Linked DNA regions of Tribolium castaneum. The protein of the gene in region 3 binds, or shares a complex with, the protein of the main gene of each other region. Links are inferred from orthologs where the notes say so. Each region holds a gene or a part of one and is shown on either strand. Other genes may lie near its edges. The genes, in order: eIF3g1, eIF3m and eIF3h.

Region 1 (2,830 bases), on a different chromosome or scaffold from region 3:
GTCCATTATTGGCTTAAATTTTAGAAAATTAATTTGACTCACCTAAAATTATTTTCAGGTATTATAGGGTATTTTTGAAATTAGCTAAAATGCAAACATATGTTTTTTTAAATAGAACACCCTATATTTTTTTGCACTTTTATATAATTTATAATAATTTTCAAAGAGGACTAGATTTTTTTTTGATTTTTTTTTCAGTTTTAAAAATTATTTTCAGAATTAGATAAAGCAGTGACCGCATTTTAAAAAACTTTCTCGCCTACAGCCCGAGTAAAAGAATGTATCCTGGAAATCAGTTTAAAAAATGTGCTGTAGAACACTGTGGAATGTGACCAAAATTCGACTCTTTTTAGCTCCCTTTATTATAGTTTGGAACACATTTCTTTGGCAACCCATTGAATACATCCTTTGGATATTATGTTTGATAAAAAATAAGTTTCATCCAGTAAGCAGATCGGTCCAGGACGACCTTAGCTGGGATCCTCTATTAGCAAAATCAAATTTTTTAAAATCACGTTGCTCAATTTTTACATATTTCTCTGAATGGACGAAAATTTAATTAGATCTAATTTAGCATTCCCTTTATACATAATCGTATTTTTATTGGATTTCAGAGACATTTCAAGTTATTTTAACTCAATTTCTCTTTTTTATCTAAGGCGGCGCAGAATGTTTCTTCTCTAGAAGGCTGTGAAAGATTTTTTCTAAAGCAACAGAATCGTAGCCGTAGCCTTCTAGAAGGATACCTAAATTTTCACAAATGTCTCAATTGGCGACAATACATTTATAAATAATAAGCTGCATTTCTGCACATCATCAGAAGCAACATGAACCAAAATATCAACTATTTTAATGTAGGTATACTTACGGCGTTACACAGTTGCGACAGAAAGTTTCACAAGCAAAAAAACTTTATTATAGCCAATAAACGGATGCAAATTTAACACTCCCGACACAAATTTAACTAATTTAAGAATGCAAAACATTAACTATTGGCAAAAGAACGCAAAACACAAGTCACACATTTTCTGTGTACAAAATCTAGTAGTTGATGGTTTTCAAAGCCACCTTTCCGAATAAGTTTCCCAATTTTAAAATTTCATTACAGAATCCTGTAATTATGTGTTTGTGGGTTTGTAACACGACAGCCCCGTTTGTCGGGGTTTATTTATTAATCGGTTTATTAAATAAATTTTAAAATACATGGCTTTATTAAATATCAACAAAATTAAATTGTATTGCAAAAAACAAAAATAAATAATTTGCAACGAAATTCCCCAAAGGTTGGCGAGTCTGTTGTTTGACAGTTTGAGGTTAACTTTTGTGAACGTGATTGTCGCACCATATTTTCCAAAAAAACGTTTCAAAATTAGCTAAAAATGCCTGTTGCCGAAGAGGTCAAGTCCAGCTGGGCTGACGAGGTGGAGTTGGAGGGCGGGTCGCTCCCGCCCCCGACCGAGGTGTACGAAAACGGCTTCAAGATCGTGACCGAATACGCGTACAACGAAGACGACAAAAAAATGAAAATCGTGCGGACCTACAAGATCGAGAAGCGCGTCGTTTCAAAATCGATCGCTTTCCGCAAGACTTGGAAGAAATTCGGCGAGTGTGCCAACGACAAGCCTGGCCCGAACCCGGCCACCACGATCGTCGCCGAGGACGTGTACATGCAGTACATCACGAGCAAGGAGGAGGACAACAAGCAGGAAGACGACGCTTTGGAGAAGCTGAAGGCTCTGGGCGACAAGAACGTGGTCAAGTGCCGCACCTGCAGCGGGGACCACTGGACCTCCAAGTGCCCCTGGAAGGACACCATGCTGGCCGGGGGCAAAGTGCCCGACGACAAGAAGGGCCCGGCGGTTCCGTCAGGGTCGGATGCGGGCAAGGCCGGGGGGTCCAAGTACATTCCGCCGAGTTTGCGAGATGGGGCCGTCAGGAAGTCCGATAATCTCAATATGGCGCGCAGAGACGACGCCACGGCGATTCGAATCACCAATCTTAGTGAATCTACCACTGAGACTGATTTGGAGGATCTGGTGAAGCCGTTTGGCCCGATCCAGAAGTTGTATTTGGCGAAAGACAAACAAGCCGGTTATTGCAAAGGATTCGCTTATATTCATTTCAAGTTTAAGAACGACGCTGCTAAAGCCATTTCTATGCTTAATGGACACGGTTATGATCATCTTATACTCACGGTGGATTGGTCTAAGCCACACCCTAATTGAAATGTATTTTATAAGTTTTATTTGTATTGAATAAAAATGCTTTAGCTAATGTTGCGTTTTTTCAAACCTACAATACAACAAAATACGTAGACATTTCAGTTTTAAATAATTCGAACAGAGGTGAAGATTGGTACAGGTCTTAGGTACACTATTAAAATAAAATATAGAAAATTCTCAAGTGTTGAAACTATCAGCTCTTAGCATTTTTCGCGTAAACGGTAGGTAAACATTACGGTAACTTCTCGGAAAAATAAAAAATCCCAAGCAATTGAGTTTTTTTAACTCGAGAGGTTTGTAAAGGCATACAATACCTGATAGAACTTTGCTAAAGCTAGTTAATTGTTTTGTTTTTTTTGAAAAGGTAAAAAATCTTAGACAATAGTTTAAGAAGTCTGCAAAATATTAACTATTGCTGGCTAATTTAGCAAATAAATAAGGTTGGTTTTTGGTTATAAACTAACCAATAAAAATAAAATAAAAGGTTAATAAACTAACTAAAAGATTTATTAACCAATCAAAGAACCTTCTGGTTATTTAATATTAATAAGTAATAACTTGACTGGACAATAATTAAAATGCGAATATAGGATTTTCCTTTTATTTTT
Region 2 (3,360 bases), on a different chromosome or scaffold from region 3:
CTCTCAAACAAGTAGTTCTGACGCGCCCTTTTTATGATTTTATCGTCAATATCCGTAATATTCATCACGAAAAAAATATCATAACCGAAATAATCGGCAAGGACGCGCCTCAAAATATCAAAAGTTATGTACGATCTGGCGTGCCCCATGTGCGAGGCGTCGTAAACAGTCGGCCCGCAACTGTACCAAGTCACTTTTTTGCCCGAAATCGGCCTAAACACCTCCTTCTGACGCGTCAGACTATTGAACACTTTCAGGACCGGACCGCCAGACGCCTCCGGCGCCGACCACGGGGGCTGCACACGTTTCGACATAACCTAACTCCAACCACCAAATTTGCAATTATTTAACACACCAACACCAAAACGCACTCTTCGGTGTTATCTAGCGGAAATTAAACTGTGATTGCATCAGAAGAAGGCACGGAATTCCCACAAAATCGGAATCAGCGGCCACAACACCACACAGTGCTGCCAACATGAAACGGCACCGGCGGCTCTTGACCCCGATTGGGGGCAAGGAACGTGCGACACGTGGCGGGTGAAACCCCCACATTAAATTATGGGGCGCAATAATGTAATTTTCGTAGTTTAAGCAGCAAATTTAGTTAGTTACTTGACGTGGTATTAAAATAAAAATCCCCAACTAGTTCCAAAATTTTTATTCTTAAATTAATCGCTACAAAACAATTATTGTTGGTTCAACATTTCGAGCTGTGCCGCTGTGACGTTCTTCATCCCTTCCTGGACCATGCTGAGGTTGCTTTTCCACGAGTGGAGCAAATCCCTCAATTGTTGCCACTGGGCGCGCCCAAAAGTCCTATGCATGGTGCTTGAGACGTAGACTTTCCGAGCGGCTTGGTCCATGCGGGCCCTCACCAGTTTAGTCTTCAAGACTTCGATAATAAACGCCTCGACCTCCTCAGCCTTGATCTGCAACTCTCTCTCAATCACGTCAAAACTGATCTCCGGGTTGGTCTCAGCGAGTTGCATGAAGGACAACAACCGCATCTTTTGCATGTTCTTCTCGTGGTTCAACCCCTGCGACGTGACAAACTCCTTGTGTTCTTGGTAGAATTTCAAATACGTTGCCAAATTTTCGCTGACAAAGATATTAAGCAAGTCGTGGATTAGCTCCCCTTCGAGAAATTTGACCGGCTTTAGGGCCAGTAAGGGGTCGAGGAGGAAGGTGTTGGGGTCCCCCAGGGCCGAGACGATGCACTTGATCGCGTCCTCGCGGGCATGCGAGGCGTTCTTATCGGTGTAGGTCCCCAAAAGTTCGATCATGACCTTGGCAGCCTGCTCACTGTGGTTGCTCTTTAGCAGCACCTGGTGCAACAACCGGTACAGAATCTGCAACTGCTCGCTTGTCGGTGGACACGGGGCGAACTGTTGCTTCAAATGCTCGATATCCTGGAACACCGACTTGACCTGGTCCGTTTTCTCCGCAATTAAAATCAAGTGGTAGTAGACGTGGTAGCGCATGGGGGACGTCTCGTCAAGCGACTGGAACAGCAGCCACAAGGCGCGCAGGCACACCAGCCCCAGTTTGGGGCCCTGAGCCTTGAGCAGCTTCTGGCAAAAGGCCAGGATGATGTTCTCGGACCGGTCGGCCGGGATCTAAAACACGTCCAATACCACGCGCAAATGATTCGAGACACTTACAAGCACCATGATTGAGACAATGTCGTTGAGCACCATCTCAACTTCGGGCTCCTGGCCCTCCTTGAAACAGGCCTCGCATACGCCGATTATTTTGTGTAGGTCGTCTTCGATGCCCTTGACTGATTTTTCCTCCGAAATTTCAGCGCCTAAACTTTTTAAGTAAATGCGGAGCTCTTGCGCCTAAAACATAACCTCAAAGTGTCATATGGACACAAAATGCCACAAATGGGCGCCTACCTGGTCCTCGGGACTCACGTCGATAAAGACAGGGGGCACTTGCATTTTTCTACAGTTAGTTCACGGTTTTTTGCAATTTTTAACTGTTTTAAGGGGAAAAACCACACCGCAAATTTGATGGTTATGTTGGCAATGCGCATGCGCAAACGCCAAGTTGTTACTTTTTTAAATTTGGTGGCCAAGTTGGCCACAAAAATTAAAACACCGAATAATTAATAAAATTTATTATTTAATTCAACAAGTCGGTTATTTGTTGGGCGTTATTTGGGTCAGCTGTCTCAGTTGTTTTAGGACCGTTTCCAGTAACTTCTTCTTGTCTCTTTCGTTCTTTTTCAATACTGTGAACATAGTTTTCTTATCGCCTTCTTTCAATCTACAAGAATCAATTAACTTGTGGTTTAATAACCCGATTTGTTACTTTTCGAGCAATACTATCGCATCATCTGGATTGACTTGCTTATATTTGCTGGTTTCTTGCCCATAGTCGTGGAAATAAGTGGGCCAGTCCCATGACGTGAACAGGTCTAAAGTCTCCCGTAGTTTGGTAAAATACGACAAGAGGACGTCCTCTTGTAGGCCTTTGACGGGCTCAGAGGCCGCAAATTCTGTAAAACTTGTTTAAATTTCCGGTTATCATTTTTCGATTAATTACGTTCACACTGTAGTAAATCTAAATTGATTTGGTTTAAGGCCCCCATGGAAATTTGCTTGATCTCGTCATTCATCAACAGTTGAAACATCGAATTGGCAATGTGTTCACACGCCGACTTACACGCAACTTGCGCCACCTCCGGCTACAAATCACTCGATAAAAAATCAACAAAACCAATCAACAAACCGGTAAATTGGTGAAACTCTGAAACGTCGTCTGGAGGAAAGCAATCAAATCGGAGATGTAACTAGAGGCGTGTCCTGACGGCTCACCCAACAGCCAATCATAACTCTCCAATTCGTAAAACTCGTTCAATTTTTGGCGCAATTTTTCGCAAATTTGGCGCACGGCGTCTTCACGAGCCACGCGGAACATGGCTGGTTGGCCTTGGACCACTCCCGTGGACACCCCTCGAGACTCCTCCCTAAATGTTTTGTTTTTATTGGCGGATTAATTTTGTGCCCTACCCTGTAATATTTGAAATAAACTGGTCCAAGTAGACCGTGGCTTCCTCCAAATAGCCCGTATCGATGATTATTTGGATAATTTCCTGAAGATTGATGTGCGGGCTACGAAACGTTGACGACAAACAACCGCTAAACGTCCGCGTCAGGAGCAAATTCATCGACTTGCGGATCATTTCGTCGACTTCCACTTGACTACAATTCAGTCACAGCCCACTTCGATTGGAATTATTCAACAACCAAACCTTAAATTCAAATCCTCGGAGAATTTCAAACACGCGTAAATAAACTCCTTGACTTGTTGGTAGACCTTGGGCACCATCCCCGAAAAGGGGAACTTGTG
Region 3 (3,307 bases):
TGTAAAACCGTGGATTTGTCCATGTGCCATTTTAAAATTCTGTAAATACGATAAATGGGACGACGCCAGTGGTGAATGTTACCTAGAGTCTAGTCGTAGTGTTAAGCTATTTTATCAATGTAAAATGGGGAATTTTTTCAAATGAATTAATCAACATTTTTATACTCATGACACGATTTTTCTTATTGATTGAACTGCTAATAGCGTAATACGAAACGATTTATTGTGATTGATTATCTAGTCTTGTTTTGTTGTTGTTTTTCGTGTGTTGTTTGTTATTGGTTTGTATGAGTTTGAGAAAGTTGCACAAAAAAGTGTGTACATTTTGGCCAGTTTGTGCAATAGAAATGTAAATAAATAAAATTCATTTCTTTAGGTTCGTAAGACTGTAATGACTAAATTGATGTTTAGGGCAATTGAATACATTATTTTTTAAAAGCTGTGTCCTTTATTTCAATCAAAAAACAACAAAATCAACATAAACGATGAAAAGGTTGCGAATATGACTTTCTCCACTGTTGGTTTAGTACCATTTTTTAAGGGGATGATTAAACGTTCAAACGTAGAAATTTCACAGAAGAGACGCCACCACAAAACCTACTGACTGCGCCAATTAAGCTTTATTACGCCTGGTTTAAATAAAACCCAAACTCATTGTATATTATTTTATTGTAAAACAACGTAACAAAACAGTTCAAGGATTAGAATTCGCCTCCTTGGCGTTCTGCAACGCTTGCGTAATATACAACTTAGCCAAACTCTGCGAGCACAACTGGGAAATGGCCTGACTATACGTATTAATCTGTCCCGCGATAATCATCGGGTTCAGCCTCGGGGGCACCGGATGTGGCCTAAACAGCTTATTAATGTCCTCTTCGGGCAATGGGGGCTCGTCTTTCGCGGCCCTAGCCGCATTTTCCTGCGCCCTCTTTTGCAAATATCTGTGTTTGTCTTGCTGTTGCCGGCTGACCAACTGTTGGTATCTATTAAACTTGATCGCTTCTTGGTTGAGTTCGTCAACTCGGTCCATGAGGCAGCGCAATTGCCCCTCGAGGACGGAGGCGGTTCCCAAATCTAAAAATTTCGAGCCTTCTTCTTCCGGGACAAGTTCTTGCAATTCGGACATCATGATGTTGGTCAAGGCGGAGTTTTTAATAACGAAGGGGACCTCGATGAAGAGGTTCTCGTATCCGACTTTGAGCTTCAAGAGGGCCTCGGGCGTGAATTCGCCCTCCTTGTACATCTCAATGGCTTGAGGCGTCAAACGGTAGGCTTTAAGTGTGAGGAACCCGCGCGAGGATTTTTGAGTGTCGTAAATCACAACGACGGATTCCTCGATTGAGGTTTGGTAGTGGAATTGCGATTCGAGAAGAGGGAGGCTGAGGAAGTTCCCGACGTCGGCGCTTTGGTACCACCCCACATGGAAGTGGTCGACGTTGACGCGTCGCAGGCGCCGCATCATCGCTAGCTGGTACTCGTCCTCGTCCATTGTCTCGTCGGTTTGTTTCGGGAATGGGAAACAATTCGTGATTTCCAGCCGGTTTTCAACGACAAGGCCGAGAAGGGCCCCCTGGGCTATGTCCATGTTAGTGGTCGATTCCTCATGGCAGTGTTTTACGATCTTCATGACGGCCTGAAAGAGGTTAGGTTCCGTATGTTAGGTATTAATTACTAACTGAGGTAGCCAAAGTGTGACTTTTGGGTTTAAATAAACTGAAGGGATATTTACCAAGCCGTCGGCTTGCACGTAAGCAATCGTCGAGTCATTTTCAGGCACACGCCTCGAAGCAGCCCCACGAGACGCCATTTTAAACTGCCAAAAATACCTGCCAATGTAGCGCAAACAAAAACTCCACAATTGCTACAAAAACACAATTTTCGTAAAAATTGCCAGCCGATAATGGCCTTATTTAACGATTACGTTGTTTGTTACCAAATTTTGTAGCAGCTAACACAATCTCGTGTTTTTTGGACGTGAAATAATTATTATATTAGTGTTTTAGGCTGATCTAGTCGGTGTCTAAATTCCCCTACGTTTCCACCAGTCCCACCTGTCATTGGAAATTTATCAGCTGACGAGAGCATTAGAAAGCAAAATAAATGGCTGGTTTAAGACAAATATCATGTTTTTGGTATTTAGTGGTGTTTGCGGGGCTGTGTTTTCTCGAATCAAACGGTAACGTAGCAGCTGAAGACGTCCTCCCGTCGAAGCTAAGTCAAAATGTTGGGGCCCCAACCTTAAAATTTTTGTATTGGTATGTTCCCCTAGCCCCAATATCATAATCTAATTATTTAATTTAGTTATTCGTGTGGTTACCGGAAAACGTTCGAGCAGTACGTAAAAATCGTTGGGGACAAATACCCTTTTATAGCCGTTGATGGCCAAAATTACGACCCCCCAGGCTTGAACATGTATTTGGCCAGACTTATTGTAAGTATGATATAATGAGTGAAAGTTGATGATTATGCGTTTTCAGGGCATCGTTAAAATGGTGATAATCGTGTGTATTTTGGGGGCTATTAACATATTTGAATACATTAACCAACCACAGCCTTCATGGTGGATTTGGTGCACAGAAAACAAGCTTTATGCTTGCATGATGCTGTTCTTTGTGTGTAATATTATCGAAGGACAGTTGATTCAATCGGGGGCTTTTGAAATCTCACTGAATGACGTTCCTGTTTGGTCCAAACTGGAGACGGGCAGGATACCACAACCTGCAGAGCTTTTCCAAATCATCGATAATCATATGCAGTTCACTGACAGCAAAATTGAACTGAGCAACGGATTCCCGAAGTAAAGTTACTATAAATTTCGAAAATGATTGTTTTGTTATCAGATTGTTCTTTTTTAAATTTGTTGTGAGTCTGGTAGTGTCATTCTATAATTTTTTGTCTGGTCACTATCACACAGCGTTCAGTATGTTTGAATGTATGATTTATAAATAACTAGATTTGTGATAAGTAAAAGTTGTACATAAAGAAATTGTCTTCTTATTTGATACCTAATAAAACCCAAAAACTCATCGTTTTTATGATTTATTCATTTGTTACATTACAAAATCATTTGGCAGTGTTTAATAGAAAGGCACATAAAATATGAATCACATTTTCCTGTCGTAAGCCTTAAAACTAATTAGCACCTTTGAGATAAAAAAGATCAAAAACAAGCAAGAATTCAAGTATTAAAAAAATAAATTCTATACAAAGAGCCACTGTCGTAATCGCTTAAATAAAATTAAGAACCTAAATCCTTACAAGTAAAAAATATTCTAATAGGATTTGTGTTTGAACACGGCGTACGTTC

The links.
Region 1: eIF3h (region 3) and eIF3g1 share a complex: the UniProt entries of both Caenorhabditis elegans proteins name them as parts of the eukaryotic translation initiation factor 3 (eIF-3) complex. The link is inferred for Tribolium castaneum from reciprocal best matches to the Caenorhabditis elegans genes eif-3.H and eif-3.G.
Region 2: eIF3h (region 3) and eIF3m share a complex: the UniProt entries of both Caenorhabditis elegans proteins name them as parts of the eukaryotic translation initiation factor 3 (eIF-3) complex. The link is inferred for Tribolium castaneum from reciprocal best matches to the Caenorhabditis elegans genes eif-3.H and cif-1.

The regions. Positions count from the first base shown.
Region 1 is NC_087395.1:17,787,892-17,790,721, forward strand, and holds eIF3g1 (eukaryotic translation initiation factor 3 subunit G), read left to right. Parts: upstream 1-1,262; 5' UTR 1,263-1,379; coding exon 1,380-2,225; 3' UTR 2,226-2,274; downstream 2,275-2,830. UniProt on the Caenorhabditis elegans protein: RNA-binding component of the eukaryotic translation initiation factor 3 (eIF-3) complex, which is involved in protein synthesis of a specialized repertoire of mRNAs and, together with other initiation factors, stimulates binding of mRNA and methionyl-tRNAi to the 40S ribosome.
Region 2 is NC_087400.1:753,649-757,008, forward strand, and holds eIF3m (eukaryotic translation initiation factor 3 subunit M), read right to left. Parts: upstream 2,077-3,360; 5' UTR 1,947-2,076; coding exon 1,902-1,946; intron 1,845-1,901; coding exon 1,665-1,844; intron 1,620-1,664; coding exon 690-1,619; 3' UTR 647-689; downstream 1-646. Other genes in the region: CysRS (cysteine--tRNA ligase, cytoplasmic), read right to left, coding at 1-314; Sec15 (exocyst complex component 6), read right to left, coding at 2,148-2,274, 2,320-2,506, 2,554-2,695, 2,740-2,977, 3,021-3,212, 3,263-3,360. UniProt on the Caenorhabditis elegans protein: Component of the eukaryotic translation initiation factor 3 (eIF-3) complex, which is involved in protein synthesis of a specialized repertoire of mRNAs and, together with other initiation factors, stimulates binding of mRNA and methionyl-tRNAi to the 40S ribosome.
Region 3 is NC_087398.1:6,460,806-6,464,112, forward strand, and holds eIF3h (eukaryotic translation initiation factor 3 subunit H), read right to left. Parts: upstream 1,958-3,307; 5' UTR 1,808-1,957; coding exon 1,730-1,807; intron 1,634-1,729; coding exon 695-1,633; 3' UTR 652-694; downstream 1-651. Other genes in the region: SelT (thioredoxin reductase-like selenoprotein T homolog CG3887), read left to right, coding at 2,101-2,255, 2,302-2,431, 2,478-2,801. UniProt on the Caenorhabditis elegans protein: Component of the eukaryotic translation initiation factor 3 (eIF-3) complex, which is involved in protein synthesis of a specialized repertoire of mRNAs and, together with other initiation factors, stimulates binding of mRNA and methionyl-tRNAi to the 40S ribosome.